4 linked regions of the Saccharomyces cerevisiae S288C genome follow. Changing the gene in region 3 together with the main gene of any one other region gives a genetic interaction. Each region holds a gene or a part of one and is shown on either strand. Other genes may lie near its edges.

Region 1 (4,070 bases), on a different chromosome or scaffold from region 3:
ATCCGCAATAACTTTATCAATCTCTTTTATATTTTGATACCGTTCACCCAACAGTTGTAAGCTTCGTATAATACTATCCGCCTCTATCAGCTCTCTATTCTGGATAGAAGTTTGGTACTGAGGAATCATCTCTATTATTTTTTTTACATCAAATTGAGGTTTCTTCAAGAAGAATGAGCGATTTGAAATTGAAAATAAGCGCCTTATAATCATTGCTGTTTAAAATCTTGTCTTGTTCAGTGTCTGTAAAACGTATTACAAAGCTGTTTGCTTAATGCTTCCATTATATATTATCGTTCCCCTTTACCGCGTTATGATTCGTTTTGTCGTTAAGGTTGAAAACACCAGCAAACAATTTTTTTGAAGAAAAACCCCATTTGCGTATACTTATATGTAGATATATTTTATTAATATTTAATCATTGTTTACATACATTAAATATACATATGTTGATATTACTAATAATTTTTTGATTTTTGGTTGACCATAATGCAATTCTCTTAAAATCTCAACTTAGAGAAGAACCATTGGTTCTTACCAGCTTGGTGTCTTTCTTCGAAAGCCTTCTTGACGACTTTCTTAGCTTCTTCACGTTGGGAAGGTTGTTCGAAAGTTTCAGTAGAAACAACGGATTTGAAAGCTTCAACATCTAAAGTGTATCTGGTTGGCAATAAATGGTTGTAGTTGACGACCTTGATGAAAGGCTTGATCTTGGTTCTCTTAGCAACCTTCTTGGCACCGTGCTTCTTGGTGACCTTCAATGGGTATCTTTCAATACCGGCAACCAAAGCGTGACCAAATGGGTGAGACTTGGAACCTTCATCATGTGGTTTAACGATAACAACCTTCTTACCGGCGTAACGACCACGGACAACGACAGCTGTGTAAAAAAAGGAAGGAAAAGAAATAGTTAGTAAATGTGAACCCTTCTTAAAGTTTGGCGAATTCTCAATTTTGTTCTTCAATACTAGGGAGAGAAAAATTATCATAGGCCCACGAATTTTTAATAGGGCATGGAAAGAACTACAGTAAATAAAAGGCCCTGGTCGCCTGCGTACATGTGCCTATGGTCTTAGCAAATATATCGCGGAACTTTCACCATCTTATTTGGTGGCTATTGATGCTTTTTTCTTTTAAATTACAACTTTTTGATAACCCTTCCACTGCCTCGTATAGCTCAATGAATATGAATAATCGTTAGTTTCGCTCCTAAATCATTCATCTTTTTGTCCAATATTTCTATTAATAAGCTATCATTCAAATTTAAAGGTTTTTTCCCAGATCTAACATCTCCACGCTTTTTCCTCCCTACTCCCATATGAAGATACAATACTCGAATTCAAACTCAAATTATACAACATCAACTGCTAATAACTTGGATTTCTAATACCACAGTTGCACGGTTTTTTGTTGATGTCCAAAAACTGAAAATGATACGTACCAACTTTACCAGCTTTCAAGAACTTAGCCATTTTTTTCTTTGGTTATGCTTTTGTTTTAACACGTTGAGACTATCTAAGAAATTCTAAAAATCTAATATATCTTTAATTTTAGCTCAAAACTACGGCAGTATGTTTTACATGAACGAACACTTTACTAGTGAAAAGAATTTCAGGAAACCTGCCTTCGGGCGAATCTCTGCAGCAAGAGCGTAGGCGGAGCTCTGCTGGAAAGACTTTGTCTCAGACAGTTCTGTCGTGATGGGAGAACTGAGCGGATCACTCCCATTAGTTTGAGAGGAACTTCTCTCCGCAGCCTTGATTCTGCCTCGGGACTCCACCTGGAATATTGTTATCGGCTCTTTCAAGAAATACAGGACTCATAAGGTGAAAAAAAAAAAAACAGTGTAGGTGCAACAGCAAAAAATGTAAAGATGTAGGTGTACGGATGCATTAACGTCTTTCGAGGCCCTTTCCATTCTTCCGTGAAAAATATTCACTGAACGTATAATATGAGACGGTTCCGTCCGAGTCCCCTTAGCTGGAATCGTGTAAGCCAATTTATCAATACATGCAGCCTTGGTGCTTTTGTGCGTCTATCCCCTACATGCATAAGATTACGTATGAATGAAAAAAGCACGACATAGAAGTGAAACCATATCTGTAACCTGGCACACGTACTACAAAAGTTATATTGTTCCTTTTTTTTTTTTTTTTTTTTCTATTGTTAAATCAAGACTTAAAAAAAATCAGCCAACAAGTAATTCTGTTTGATAGTTCAAGTCACTCAGCAAAAGATTTTCGTGCTCTCCAATACACCATCTAAGTATCAATAGCATTTTAACCAAGCAACAGAAGGAATAGTGTTTATAAATGGGTGAAGATTTTATGCACCCACCGTTTCAAACGTACCCTTCAAAGAACAGCGAAGGGAAAAAACATATTGTCATTGTAGGTGGCGGTATCATCGGTTGCTGTACTGCTTACTACTTGACCCAGCATCCAAGTTTCAGCCCTTCGACGCATCATATTACCATCATTGAATCGAGGCGCATTGCTGGAGGGGCTTCTGGTAAAGCAGGTGGCTTGCTTGCATCTTGGGCTTTCCCTCACCAAATCGTACCTTTAAGTTTCCAGCTACATCAGGAGTTGAGTGATGAATATGATGGAGAAAACAACTGGGACTACAGAAGATTGACGACTGTGTCCTTAGAAGCAGATGTTCGCGAAGAAGTCATTGAAAACTACGAAAGACTGAGCAAGAAGGCATATAATCTGAATGTCCCTCCTCCAAAGAAGAGACCGGGCTACATATCCAACAAGTTTAACATCGGGGACTCTAATTCATCTTTGAGTTCTTCGGGCTCTTCTTTGAAAAACGACTCCGCTAGTAACGAGGAAGAAGGATCAGACATTCATGTTTCTAGCTCAGTACCCAGTTTACACTCTCTAACAAATGAGCGCATGAGAAGCCACACAAATAGCGCATCTGATCTTGACTCTGTAAGTCCCGTGGAGCAACTGAGAGAGACTAATATCCATAATCCTTTGCCTGCTGATTTAGATTGGATAAGAAGAGAATTGGTTAATGATTGGTCATCACTAGGTGGTACTGATACCACAGCGCAGCTTCATCCCTATAAATTCACCCATTTCATCTTATCGAAGGCAATGGAAACAGGTGCTGTCGATCTTCTCCTAGGTAAGGTAGTTGGGCTAAAGTGTGACGAGATGGATTGTGTTCATTCTCTTAAGTACCTTCCATCTGTCGTCAAGAATCGCAGAAATAGCAGAGGGCATGCAGAAAATCCAGACATTAAGCTGGGTACAATCTTCAACGATGAGAACGCGAAGCCCATTGAAATCAATGACATCCAGCAGATTGTTTTGAGTATGGGACCCTGGACTTCCAAGATTCTAAAAGATTGTCCAATTTCTGGATTGAGAGCCCACTCTGTCACCATTAAGCCTAGTGAAAAGACAGTTTCACCTTACGCTATTCTTGCTGAACTAAAAGTTAACGACCGTGAATTTTTCTCCCCTGAAATGTATGCTAGAAAAGATGAAGTTTATGTGTGCGGCGAAGGCGACACTTTAGTCAATATACCTGAAAGTTCGGACGATGTGGAGGTAGTTTCGGAGAAGTGTGATGAATTGTACCATTACGTATCCAAATTATCGCCAACTCTATCAAAGGGCCATCTCTTGCGGAAACAAGCCTGTTTTTTGCCAGTTTTAAACGTTCCTACAAGTTCTGGTCCCTTAATTGGTGAGACAAATGTCAAGGATCTTTATATTGCAAGTGGACATTCTTGTTGGGGTATTAACAATGCGCCAGCAACAGGTAAATTAATGGCTGAGATTCTCCTTGATGGCGAAGCAACCTCTGCGGAAATCTCAAGTTTGGATCCAAAGTTATATTTCGACGCCACCATCCTTTCTTAATCAAGCCGAGGAGTAAAAAGGTCAAGAAAAGTATATGCACAAATTTGTACATATAAGAGCTTATTTATTTATATATTTAAAATTTCTGAGGCCATTTAATGTGTATATATTTAACGAATACCTAAATCTATATATTTCTTTTTTTTTTTTCTCTCTCTCTCTCTCTTTCTCTTTCTCTCTTGGCGT
Region 2 (4,817 bases), on a different chromosome or scaffold from region 3:
AGTTCATATGGGATCAAATTTTGACGGAACTTGGGCGAAGTCCCGACATCAGTGTGGGAAAAGTTGAATAACTCACTAAGTTCGTGTCTTGATGCACTTGTATACAACCTCTTGGTTTCATCAGTAGCATGTTGCATTTCACCAACTGTCATAATTTCTCTGCCATCCTTCACTCTGTTTCTGATGAACTTGTTCATTTCTTGATGAAACTCATGGATACGTGGTCCGTTCATTGTGAAAGGATCACTGGGTTGCCACTTTGAGTTTTCGTCAATCACAGGAGCGTCTGGTAGACCAGCAACCTTGGAGTACAAGCTTCCCACATCAATTCTAAAGCCGTCTACACCATGGTCTAACCAGTATCCAACGGCACTTTCGTAGATTGCCTTTCTACAGTCCTCATTCTCCCAATTCAAATCAGGTTGGGTGGAGCAAAACAAACGCAAGTAAAACTCTTGTGTCTTTTCATCGAACGTCCATGCAGAACCACCGAAGTAAGACCTCCAATTGTTTGGAGGAATTGGCTTGCCTTCGGCGTCATAACCCTTAGGAGGTCTCCAGAAGAACCAGTCACGTTTTGGATTGGTTTTTGAGGATCTGCTCTCTTTGAACCATTCATGTTCGCTCGAGCAATGGTTGATGACTAAGTCGGTGATAAATTTCATACCAAGCTTATGTGTCTTTTCGATCAAGGCAAAGCAGTCCTCGTTCGTACCGTAGGTTGGCCAGACCTTTTCGTAGTTGGCAATATCGTAACCCATATCATCTTGTGGCGAGTCGTAGAATGGTGAGATCCAAATGGCATCGGCACCAAGCTCTTTGATATACTCCAACTTGGAGGCAATACCCTTCATATCACCCCACCCATCGTTGTTGGAGTCTTTGAAACTTGCGGGATAAATTTGATAGATTGTGGCCTCTTTCCACCACTTGGGTTCTGTTTCTGGATGTGCAGAAGAAATAGTCATTGTACGTTGCTTTCTTTTCTTTATGAAAAAACTTTCACTTTTGTTTGTGTGTTTGGACTGGTGAATGGAACATATATTCTAGTACAGCTAATTCCTCGAGTGAAGAAGTCTTTCTTACTTATATATGTCTTTTACGTGCCTATGGACGTCTTACGAATGATCGAAAATAAGAAAAGAACAAAGTAAATTTAGGATCTGGAAGGAGTGCTGTATGTAAACGAAGCTTTCAGTTTTAGGTAATGTTTGCACAACCTACATGATATAACATGGTATGTTCTGCAAGAGCGTGCCTGGCCCTTGGCCCGTTATAGCAGATCATACCATCTGCAAGCAGACCCCATTATTGCACTGCCTCCGCAATCTTGCGTATACGTAGTCCCACGACAAAGTACGAAGCGTAAACTGACCTTGTTCAGTTCCCCACAAAAATTACATAACCATTTCTCCGCGGAATTACATAATCATTTCTCCGCGAAAATTACATAATCATTTCTCCGTGCGAGTTATAAGTGCTTTTCTCGTGCATCCCTTGGCACTTCACAAAACCTTCTTTTTCTTTTTTTTCTTTATTTCAGGGGAAATCAGTGCAAAACTAAAAAAGAAAGAAATTTTGTGAAATGTAAACTCCAGGTGTCAAAAAATAAATTATATCCGTGGAAAATCAGGCGTCGGAAATTGTAGATGAAACCGCCTCCTCCACAATAAATGCTGACCACACGAACAATGCATACACTCGGACACCTTCGTTCAAAGTATCAGTAGCAGTTCGACACACCGTATACTACTTAGCTCTTAAGGTCTAGGCTCATCTTTCTCAGTTCCTCTTTTTCGCTAATTAAAGGTATATAATGTCACAGTTGTGTAACTAGAGAAGAGCACACTTGTTCCTATCTTTTTCTTCTTCTTTTTTTGGTATGAGTTGAAAAAAATAATCATTGCACAATTTAGTTCTAAACGCTTTTGTTATTACTCAATATCATGTCAGGTGTTAATAATACATCCGCAAATGAGTTATCTACTACCATGTCTAACTCTAACTCAGCAGTAGGCGCTCCCTCTGTTAAGACTGAACACGGTGACTCTAAAAATTCCCTTAACCTAGATGCCAATGAGCCACCTATTGACTTACCTCAAAAACCCCTCTCTGCGTATACCACCGTCGCAATCCTGTGTTTGATGATTGCATTTGGCGGCTTCATCTTTGGTTGGGATACCGGTACCATTTCTGGTTTTGTTAACCTTTCTGATTTCATCAGAAGGTTCGGTCAAAAAAATGACAAGGGAACCTACTACTTATCGAAAGTAAGAATGGGTTTGATCGTCTCAATATTCAACATTGGCTGCGCCATAGGCGGAATTGTCTTGTCAAAAGTCGGTGATATATATGGTCGTCGTATTGGATTGATTACAGTTACTGCCATTTACGTTGTAGGCATCCTAATCCAAATAACTTCCATAAACAAGTGGTACCAATACTTCATTGGAAGAATTATTTCTGGCCTAGGAGTGGGAGGCATTGCTGTCCTTTCCCCAATGTTGATATCTGAAGTTGCTCCCAAACATATCAGAGGAACTCTGGTCCAATTGTACCAGCTGATGGGTACGATGGGTATTTTTCTAGGATACTGTACCAATTACGGTACCAAGAACTATCACAACGCCACTCAATGGAGAGTCGGCCTTGGTCTTTGCTTTGCCTGGGCTACATTCATGGTTAGTGGAATGATGTTTGTACCAGAATCACCACGTTACCTGATTGAGGTTGGTAAAGATGAGGAAGCGAAACGTTCACTATCGAAATCCAACAAAGTCTCAGTTGACGATCCAGCCTTGCTAGTTGAATATGACACTATAAAGGCAGGAATTGAACTTGAAAAGCTGGCAGGTAACGCATCATGGTCTGAACTACTCTCCACTAAAACAAAGGTCTTTCAGCGTGTTCTCATGGGAGTGATGATCCAATCGCTGCAGCAATTAACCGGTGACAACTACTTCTTTTACTACGGTACCACCATCTTCAAATCTGTCGGTCTAAAGGACTCCTTTCAGACTTCGATCATTATCGGTGTGGTTAATTTTTTCTCTTCATTCATAGCGGTATACACCATTGAGAGGTTTGGACGCCGTACGTGTCTATTGTGGGGTGCTGCTTCTATGCTATGCTGCTTTGCTGTGTTTGCCTCCGTCGGTGTGACAAAGTTGTGGCCTCAAGGAAGCAGTCACCAAGACATTACTTCTCAGGGCGCCGGTAACTGTATGATTGTGTTTACTATGTTCTTCATTTTTTCGTTCGCCACCACTTGGGCAGGCGGCTGTTACGTTATTGTCTCAGAGACGTTTCCTCTTAGGGTCAAATCAAGAGGAATGGCAATCGCAACAGCTGCAAACTGGATGTGGGGTTTCCTGATTAGTTTCTTTACCCCATTCATTACCGGGGCAATCAACTTTTACTACGGTTACGTATTCTTAGGCTGTCTGGTTTTTGCATACTTTTATGTCTTTTTCTTTGTCCCAGAAACAAAAGGCCTGACACTGGAGGAGGTGAATACTATGTGGCTGGAAGGTGTGCCAGCATGGAAATCGGCCTCATGGGTGCCACCGGAGAGAAGAACCGCAGATTACGATGCTGATGCAATAGATCATGACAATAGACCAATTTACAAGAGGTTCTTTTCCAGCTGATCTTCTAGTTTTCGGTAAATTGGTAAAAAAGCAAAAAAAAAAATTGACGAAACTAATTCTCTATTATACATAATGTTTTTACTTTTGTACCCTTTAATTTCTAATGAATGTTTTATGGAAGCTTCAATAAATGCGTGACTGGCTATAGTTGTCGGATGGCAATCCATTATTATGTATACCGTATTATTAAGAGTGCAACTAGGCCCGACTATAAATCTAACACTCAGATCCTTGTACTGTAATGCATATTTATTTTTTCACAAGTTGCATGCTAATAATACCATGATATTTTTTGAAGCCTTGAAAAATAGTTCAAGCAGCTACGATATCATGAATCAATATACTCATTGCAGCCTATGTAATATATATAGGTTCCGTGTTACCACTCGTTTCTGATATTTTCGATATGGCTACACTGGGTTTTTCATGATGGAAATGTGATACTACCAGTTCCAATATATTTATCTTCCTTATCTATATGACACGCTGTTATTTTAGTTCAAGTCAGTGTCCAATTGGGGTGAGTGTCACGTGCACAACGACGGTAGTCGTTGGATGTGCTAAATGATGTTCTACTGCCAATGACTGCAAATACGTTCGAAGAGTATAAAATCGAAGGAAACGAATTAAGTTGCCAATCCTTACTGTAACTATAGCATGTTACATATATGTACCATAAGTATCACATTAAGGTTTCGCCATAGCCATGTGCCTATATTAAATAGAAATATCACATGGCGATCCACGGAATGTTTATAGATTTTCTTCTTTTGTCTATGGCCCGGGCGAGACATTAATTTATCTTGCTGAAAAATTCGAAAGTTAAAACTCAATTATGCGTGGGATTTCTCAATTAGGTTACCAGAATTTCAATCTGCTGAAGAATTATGTCTTAAAAAAAAAAGTCCCGCCTCAAAAAAGCCAAAAAGGGTGTGACTGTAGATTGTGGGTTACTTGCTGTCAAATGACATGAAAATCTCTGCCTGCATGATCCCTGTCAAAATTCGAAAACACGCGGTCATAAAATTGTGCCTCAAAAAGATATCTTTTCCTGCGGGTTCTCTTAGTAAATGAGGTTAGGTTGTTTCCTATTCTTACGAGATTTCCCTTGTTCTCGCCGCTCACATCATTGTCGGTAAGATCTTCCGTAGTGGCAGGTCAAGCAGT
Region 3 (5,035 bases):
CGTTGAGAGCAAAAACTGTGGATTTGTGAAGTTTAAATATCAAGCTAATGCAGAATTTGCCAAAGAAGCCATGAGCAATCAGACATTGCTGCTACCCAGCGATAAAGAATGGGATGATAGAAGGGAGGGTACTGGACTATTGGTGAAATGGGCAAATGAAGATCCAGACCCCGCTGCACAGAAAAGACTGCAAGAAGAACTGAAGTTAGAGTCTTTAAACATGATGGTGCATCTAATCAATAACAATACCAATAGTGCTGGCACTGAGGTTAATAATAAGAATAATGAAAGGTTAGACAGGACATTTCCAGAAGCAAGTGTTGATAATGTCAAGAAAAGACTATTGCCATTAGATAATGGAATGGAGAGTGATGATTTTATAGAAAAATTGAAGAAAGTGAAAAAAAATATCAGTAGAGAAAATATTTCATCAAAGCCATCTGTTGGTAAGCTTGGTGGTCCCTTGCTCGATTACCTCTCCTCTGATGAGGATTAGAGAAGAAAATCGTTTCCACCAAATTCTAAGTATCTGCCATTAACATTCCCGCTGAGCTGATCATAAATTATCCGCGCTTCTTGATTTTTATGTTTGGGCGCAGAAAACAAGCTAAAACGGTGAGATAGGATAAACTATAATATAATTAAATTAAAAATACTGACTATATAAGCTAGACCTTATAAACTCTGAATATAAAATCTTTATAAAGGTTTGAACATTTATGGTTCCTGTTTGGACATAATTGTGTCGATAACATCAGCACCAACGGCTTCAGTATAATCATCATCCGACAAATTGGTTGCTGGACCGTGGTAGTATTTCTTCTTGTAAACTTTGTAGTAGATACCTGCAAGGATCCAGATACCGGGACCAATAACGCATGCATAATTCATTGTGGATTTAGTAATACCATGTTGTTGAGAGGGGAACATAACCAAAATAATAATGAACAATTGGAAAGCAACACCTGTCCAAGCAACAATTGGAGACCAGATTTTACCCAAATAAAATGGACCAGGTCTAAATAAATCTCTACCTGATGTTAAACGGAAAACTGTAGGGGTACTCCATGCCAAATTGTTTCCTGCAACAGCCAGACTAAATAATGCATCAGTGGCGGCATCATCAATCAAACATAACAATCCTAAAATCAAGGAACCTACACAGGCAGCCAAAATAGCGAAAAAAGGGACCGAGTATTTAGAATCCACTCTTTTAATATACTTTGATAGGGGCAAACCGTTATCACGGGAAAATGCCCAAACTTGTCTAGAAACAGCTGTGGTAATGGAAGCACCCATTAGAAATTGACAGAATGCGATCAATGACATAAATGCAATGGCCCATTTTTTTCCTAACGAATCATAAATTATTTGAGCCAAAGCAAAGCCGTACTTGGAGTCCAAAACGCTGTCAATATCAGGGTTGATACAGGCCATTAAACAAATAATAATCAACCAACCTAAAATCCAACAAACAGCAATAGATGAGATTATACCAATGGGGACTGATTTCTTGGCATCTTTGGCTTCTTCAGATTGATGGACACATGAATCAAAGGAACCAATAGTCCAGACAGCAGGCATGAAACCAGCAAGACAAAATTGCCAACCATTATTCCAGTCACTTAAGTTTTCATATTTCCCAAATATAAAGTCACCATCATTGAAACCTCCCATTCTATGCTTGGTACCAATCGGTAGCGCAATGAACAATAAAACAATAATGAAAAGATTGGCAAATATACTTAGCGTCTGCAGACGAGCAATGGCCCCAGAAGCAACACATGTACAAATACACATAACCACCACTGCTCCAGCAAATATACCGTAAAGTTTCCCACTCGTTACTTCAAAATTTCCATCTTTGGTTAATGTGACAGCAGCAGCAATTTCCTCAGCCAAACCGTAATCAATGGAACACACACCGGCTGCCAACGCTAGGGAGTTTGAGCAACCAATAATAAAAGAAATAATCTCTTTATAACCTTCTGGAGCATAGTAATACGTCCAGTAGTACAAACCACCAGCGGTAGGAATGGAACTTGCATGTTCAGCCATGGTAATACCCACCAGTAAAATGAAAAACGCAGCAACGAACCAACCCCACACTAATGTTGCTGGACCACCACCGAGCCCACCACCCATCACAGATGCAATGGAGGGCAATAGACCCATAATGGAGAACGCAATACCGAAAACTTGTAATGTTGAAAATTGTCTTTTTAATTCTTGTTTATAACCGATCTCTGCAAGCAGTTGGTTATCATTTACAGATTTAGCAGCATCGATATAGTTCACTTCACCGGCACCAGTCTTGGAGCGAATCGACCTTAGGTTAGACCCAAGGCCTTGTAACTGGTAAGCCTGACCGATATCAGTGGATATTCTTTGTTCTACTGATATCTTATTCTCGTTTTTGCTTGACATACTCATTGTTAGTAATAATAAATTATAAGACCTTGTTACACTTCACAACTGAAGTAAACAGCTTATACTGTTTTATATAATCACAACAAGAAGGAAAGGACCATGCCAGTCAACAGAATACGTTTGAACTACTTCTTAATATATATGCATTTGTTATTCAAGAGTAAGCCGTATTCGCTATCATTATCACTGAGCACAATCTCACATCAAGATTCTAACCCAAAGAAGGAACTGATTACTGTGCCAAGCCGCGTTATCCGACTTAAAATTAGTAGGTTCTCCCCTTATTCGATAAACGTACATGGGTACGTGCACCGGTATTGGACCATCGAAGGCCCTCACCTCCATGGTAATAGATTGCAAAATCCAACATGACATAAAACATCTCGAAATTGCCGCCGGCGGTTTTTGGCGCACGATAAGCGATAAGCGATTAGCGATAAGAGTACCTTAGTAAGATGCCTAGGAAAAAGAAAATAAGATACGCAAGCCGCGGTTAAACAATGATATAGAGTTGCCTGATCAGTAACCACTAAAGAGAAAAATAGATCCCAAAAAATCAATCATTTCAATGATTGAAGAAATTGTCATTCACAATAAACACTGGAAATGAGTGCAAAGTGGAAAACAATGTGGAAAAAGAAAAAAAATTAAACTTGCGCAAGCCCGGAATCGAACCGGGGGCCCAACGATGGCAACGTTGGATTTTACCACTAAACCACTTGCGCTAAGTGAACTTGAAAACGGGAGCGTTGGATAACAACTAATACAAGACTGTTGACAACAATTCTGCGAGAGTAACTTGTCGTCAACACTTATTATCATTTTGAATCACAGAGGGTGCTTATCCTCTTGGAATAAATGGTCTACATCATTCTAAATGGTAGAAGCATGGAAGCCCAGACGTTAACGAGTTACACAGGTGTTTATATGTTTAGATTTATGTATGTAGCAACGCTAAGCTATCTCATCTTGAGATACAACACGAAAAATGGAATGAACAGATCACCTAACAGTTAAACCACTCTAACAGTTACTATTAGAGTGGTTAAATGTAAACTCTTGTGCAGTAAATAAGAACTAACCTTAAACCTTCACTAACGAAAGTGCTACTAAAAGGTACCTCAGCAATGGATTTCTGTTTCCAGACTGTTTTGAAAGTACAGGCCATTCATTATAATGACTGCGGTTTATTCAAGGCAAACCATCCGACATGCCTCAAGAGTTACTGGAAAATGAGGTGGTCTCCTTGTTATACAGAGACTGACTATTGCTTCGTCTCAAGCTTTGTAAAAGGTACCCACCCTTCTTGAAGTCACCAGAGTTAAAACCAACCTCTTGGTTTCGAGAGGTTGAAGTCTCTCAAAATGTAACATTTAACTATAACATCAGTCGTATGTTATTACTGGATGAAAGATACTGGTATCACTGCTCTTTGCTTCGCATGCTGTCACAAATTGTCGTTGTGAGCTCTCTTAGTTATTTGAATTAGTGATAAGATATTCACATATCTTACTTGCTTCTTCTTACATCAAAGAAAAAACATAAGCATGATAAATAAAAAATGCAAGATCCGCTCTCAAATTCTTTACAACGAATTCTTTGTTTAGACTAAACGATAAAGAAATTCTTCTGCAAACATAATCAAAGAAACTGTGCAGGAAATGAGAACGGCAAGAAAAATATTGGTGGTGCAGTTATGGACTGACTATCCGTATTCCGACATCAAAATGATACCGTACTTAGTAGATTTGCGCCATTCAAAATTAATACGTACCTGGGCTCCACCGCCACAAATTCCCGCGACGTTTATCTCTCCCCTATGCAGCATTAATATCTTCTAAAAAAAAAAAAAATTTACAAAACACCTAATCCAATCATTTCACCAGATTACCGAAGCGTTTGCGTTAAATGTCCTGCTACGGCAATCGACAAAGTAGACCCACTCTATTACTACTGTTTGTTTGGTACTTAAATTGCTTTTTGTTAGCGAAGAGATATCGACGATGCACACGTTATTGATAAACATCATATACGCAAAGCTTCGAATTAAAAACATATTCTTGAGAACAGGTAAATTCCTTGAGCATAAATCATCAAAAAAAGAAAATAAATTCTGGAAGCGGATTAAGTGTGTGATCTCATAGAACTGCCTTAAAAATCTTGAAGCCAGTCAAATTTTCCATAAATCCTTGGGTTCTACTCATGTAATCAAAGCGAGGATAGCCCACAACTTTCACAAGTTCGATTTCGCCAACAAATAAAACAGCTTAACTGCTTTGCTATGTTTCCTCAACAATCGAACTGGCTGACGAGTAGAAGTCTGGCATTATGTGGAATCACTCACTGCACCAGCTATCTCTCCAGTTACTAGTTGTATTCTCTGTCAGCAGTCGAAATGACTTTTTTAATATCAATATGGCAAAAAAGTAATACACACTGTTAAGAAGTTAACAAACATAGTAAATAGTGTTTCTCAAAGTGAAGCCATTTTTGAAAAATCCAGTTCACTATAAATCCACTGTGCCAGTAGAACAGTTGCAAGAGTCCCAGTCCATAATAAAACGCTGGGAATGATTCCAGGCGTTGACTTGAACACAATTGCCAA
Region 4 (4,194 bases), on a different chromosome or scaffold from region 3:
GAATTTGGACAACCTCGAGGAGTATTTGTGCGATGACATTGACATTTACAGCACTAGTAGCATTCATCAAGGCACACCAGTGATTGATTTCTCATTGAAACTGGCTCATTGAAAATGCTTAGGCTTCGATTTTTACTTTTTTTTATTTACATATTCTAAATAAGATTAAGAAGCTACGCGTTACCGATTAATGACACACACGACGATTAGTAACGAAATAAGAAATGAATAATGAGCACTCCCAGGAAGGCCGCCGGTAACAACGAGAATACAGAAGTCTCAGAGATCAGAACCCCCTTTCGGGAGAGAGCCCTTGAAGAACAACGTCTCAAGGATGAGGTACTGATCAGAAATACGCCAGGTTATAGAAAACTTTTATCTGCTTCTACTAAGTCTCATGACATCCTCAATAAAGATCCGAACGAAGTACGAAGTTTTTTACAAGACTTAAGCCAAGTGTTAGCACGCAAATCACAAGGCAACGATACAACTACTAATAAAACTCAAGCACGGAATCTAATAGATGAATTAGCGTACGAAGAGAGCCAACCAGAGGAGAATGAGCTTCTTCGGAGCAGAAGTGAGAAACTGACAGATAACAACATTGGCAATGAAACGCAACCTGATTATACTTCCTTATCGCAAACAGTATTTGCAAAATTGCAGGAAAGAGACAAAGGCTTGAAAAGTAGGAAGATTGACCCGATAATAATACAAGATGTTCCCACGACAGGACACGAGGATGAATTGACAGTGCACTCTCCAGATAAAGCTAACAGTATCTCTATGGAAGTTTTGCGCACGTCGCCAAGCATTGGAATGGATCAGGTAGATGAACCGCCAGTACGTGATCCGGTACCAATTTCCATAACGCAACAGGAAGAACCACTATCTGAAGATTTACCAAGCGACGATAAAGAGGAGACAGAAGAAGCAGAAAACGAAGATTATTCGTTTGAAAACACCAGTGACGAAAATTTGGATGATATAGGCAACGATCCTATCCGTTTAAATGTCCCTGCGGTGAGACGTTCTTCTATAAAACCGCTGCAAATAATGGATCTAAAACATCTTACAAGGCAATTTTTGAATGAGAATAGGATAATATTGCCGAAACAAACGTGGTCTACTATACAGGAGGAATCTTTAAATATAATGGATTTCTTGAAACAAAAAATCGGCACGTTACAAAAACAGGAATTGGTAGATTCGTTTATCGATATGGGTATTATCAATAACGTTGATGATATGTTTGAGCTCGCGCACGAATTGCTTCCCTTAGAACTTCAATCAAGAATTGAAAGTTATTTGTTCTAAAAAAGATACCGTAGAGAAAATAATTAAATAGTGGCAATTTATGTACAGAAAAGAGTAAAAGATCCACAAAATTATCAAGACCTGGAAGAGAAGCCTAGTAACAAACTAACCTGTTCATAAACAGTGAACGTTAAGCCTCCTGAAATACCGACTTTCATAAACCTAAAGATGGAGCCCTTCCAGAATGTGGCCATGCCTTCTTGAACAAATATTCTATACATGCAATTTAAGGTATTTTTATATTCAGTTTTGGCATTTTGACTCATCATCCTTGTTTTTACGACGTCAATGGGCTGAGTCATTGCCACGAGTGTAAAAGATGTGGCTAACCCCGTTATTACTGAGGATGCCTTGTCGTTTCTTGCTTGTAACAACCGTTTAAATGCTGTGTATGCAGTAAATTGAATAGAGGTGTTAGCTATCTGCCTAAATATGGTGGCTGTTGTTCCCTGGACGAACGCAGCAGGGCCTCTTGTTTGATACATGTGTTTTACCGCTGGAAGTAGTTTCTCGATACGAGCCACAGGAGTAGATTTAGTCGCCACCTTGTGAAAGGTTGCCTTTGCGTTAACTACAGGTTGATTCTTCTCTAATTTTTTATGATCGATCATCGCCGATTGGATAAGGGTGGTTTTTATGTTTTCAAAAGGGATAATAAACAAACTTTCTACTATTCCTGTCAACGTACCAGCGATCAAAAGGTTATAACCAGTCAGTCTTTGAAAATTATCATTATTATCAATGTTATTATTCAGGGAGTGGCATAACTTGTCGAACGTAACGAACCTTAAAATAGTCTTACCAAATGCGGCCACGTTTAGGGCAGAGCAGCCAACAAAGTACGACTTAATCTGAGGTAAAATGATTTCGAAAGCGGTACCCTTCGGTTGCAATTGTAAACCAGTCTTTAAGTACTCAAATGGGTATGTCATTGTCGTTTGAAACACAGCAGCTACACTGCCGGCAGTGATTTGCTTGTAAAGGTCAGAGTTCTGCAAACGAGAAAAAAGAGAGCGTTAATAAAATAGCATTAGCGTCTTGGAACGAAACAGTTTACTACTTACCTGGTTAGCCATGTCGGGTGCTGTTCTTACTGCCCTTTTTTTACGATTCGACTACCTGTGAGAGCAATTACTTTTTCAATTATATTCGATTGAAAAATAGCTTAATAAGGCGGAAGAAGTTCCCACTTCTGTTCAAAGCCCTTTAAATTAAACAACCTAATAAAATCAGCAGACGCAAGAAGGAAAAACCTCTGACACCCTTTCCAGAAGTTATGTTGACAAGAAAGTTTGAAATTTTTGGATTAATAAGTCGATTTTATTATGACTAGCGAAGGCGAACTAAACAAGAAGTCGATTAAATCCCTCGAGTGATTGATAACTCCACAACACATTTTGTGCGCCAATCGGTGGGTTAAATACTCGAGCACATCTTTTAGAATAAGTATTCGTATTCTTTTAAGTTGACCAATGCCACAGCATATTTTAGCAATATCCCTTATATTCGTCATTCAAAACGGCTACAAGAAAATGTGTCAAAAAAAAAAGAGAGACTATAATAGCAACATGTTGTTCTTATCAATTGAATCTCCCTTCATTGTTAGTTCAGTTGCTCCAGAGCATCGTACACAAGCATGTCTCACTCACTTACTTCCGTTTTCCAAAAGATTGATTCTTTAAAGCCTCAGTTCTTCAGCAGACTGACTAAGGCTATTCAAATCCCCGCTGTTTCTTCGGATGAATCACTAAGGTCCAAAGTCTTCGATAAGGCCAAGTTTATCTCCGAGCAATTATCACAATCGGGGTTCCATGACATTAAAATGGTGGATCTGGGCATTCAACCTCCACCAATTTCTACGCCAAATCTGTCTCTACCTCCTGTGATTCTGTCTAGGTTCGGCAGCGACCCTTCAAAAAAGACTGTGTTGGTTTACGGTCACTATGATGTGCAACCTGCTCAATTGGAAGATGGTTGGGATACTGAGCCATTCAAGCTTGTCATTGATGAGGCTAAAGGTATCATGAAAGGAAGGGGTGTCACCGATGACACTGGTCCCTTATTATCTTGGATTAACGTTGTGGACGCCTTCAAAGCCTCCGGACAAGAATTCCCCGTTAACTTAGTTACTTGTTTCGAAGGAATGGAGGAAAGTGGTTCTTTGAAATTGGATGAATTGATTAAAAAGGAAGCTAATGGTTACTTTAAAGGTGTAGATGCCGTTTGTATTTCCGATAATTACTGGCTAGGCACTAAGAAGCCTGTTTTGACTTATGGTCTAAGAGGTTGCAACTACTATCAAACCATCATTGAGGGTCCAAGTGCAGATTTACACTCTGGTATCTTTGGTGGTGTTGTTGCTGAACCAATGATCGATTTAATGCAAGTTCTCGGTTCCCTTGTGGATTCTAAGGGTAAGATCCTGATTGACGGTATTGACGAAATGGTTGCTCCTCTAACCGAAAAGGAGAAGGCTCTATACAAGGATATCGAATTTAGCGTCGAAGAATTGAACGCTGCAACTGGCTCTAAGACAAGTTTGTACGACAAGAAGGAAGACATCTTGATGCACAGATGGAGGTATCCTTCGTTGTCCATTCATGGTGTGGAAGGCGCCTTTTCCGCTCAAGGTGCAAAGACTGTCATTCCAGCTAAGGTCTTCGGTAAGTTTTCCATTAGAACCGTCCCCGACATGGATTCTGAGAAACTGACCTCTTTGGTCCAGAAGCATTGTGATGCCAAATTCAAGTCCTTGAACTCTCCAAACAAGTGCAGAACAGAATTGATCCATGATGGTGCTTATTGGGTTTCTGATCCATTCAACGCCCAATTTACTGCTGCTAAAAAGGCCACAAAACTGGTCTATGGTGTCGATCC

The links.
Region 1: mutations in UGA4 (region 3) and RPL27A impair growth when combined (synthetic growth defect), as found in Saccharomyces cerevisiae (one large-scale study listed by BioGRID).
Region 2: mutations in UGA4 (region 3) and HXT11 together harm fitness less than expected from each alone (positive genetic interaction), as found in Saccharomyces cerevisiae (one large-scale study listed by BioGRID).
Region 4: mutations in UGA4 (region 3) and MRX20 together harm fitness more than expected from each alone (negative genetic interaction), as found in Saccharomyces cerevisiae (one large-scale study listed by BioGRID).

Annotation. Positions count from the first base shown.
Region 1 is NC_001140.6:123,923-127,992, reverse strand, and holds RPL27A (60S ribosomal protein eL27 RPL27A), read right to left. Parts: upstream 1,473-4,070; coding exon 1,442-1,472; intron 881-1,441; coding exon 501-880; downstream 1-500. Other genes in the region: putative serine--tRNA ligase DIA4, read right to left, coding at 1-213; TDA3 (Tda3p), read left to right, coding at 2,313-3,884.
Region 2 is NC_001147.6:23,327-28,143, forward strand, and holds HXT11 (hexose transporter HXT11), read left to right. Parts: upstream 1-1,946; coding exon 1,947-3,650; downstream 3,651-4,817. Other genes in the region: oligo-1,6-glucosidase IMA2, read right to left, coding at 1-968; YOL155W-A (uncharacterized protein), read left to right, coding at 3,758-3,892. UniProt on the Saccharomyces cerevisiae protein: Probable glucose transporter.
Region 3 is NC_001136.10:81,668-86,702, reverse strand, and holds UGA4 (Uga4p), read right to left. Parts: upstream 2,434-5,035; coding exon 718-2,433; downstream 1-717. Other genes in the region: active spliceosome conformation promoter CWC2, read left to right, coding at 1-496. UniProt on the Saccharomyces cerevisiae protein: Required for high-affinity, high-specificity GABA transport. Also transports putrescine.
Region 4 is NC_001138.5:240,197-244,390, reverse strand, and holds MRX20 (Mrx20p), read right to left. Parts: upstream 2,394-4,194; coding exon 2,382-2,393; intron 2,310-2,381; coding exon 1,392-2,309; downstream 1-1,391. Other genes in the region: BNA6 (nicotinate-nucleotide diphosphorylase (carboxylating)), read left to right, coding at 1-112; centromere-binding protein CNN1, read left to right, coding at 232-1,317; DUG1 (metallodipeptidase), read left to right, coding at 2,954-4,194.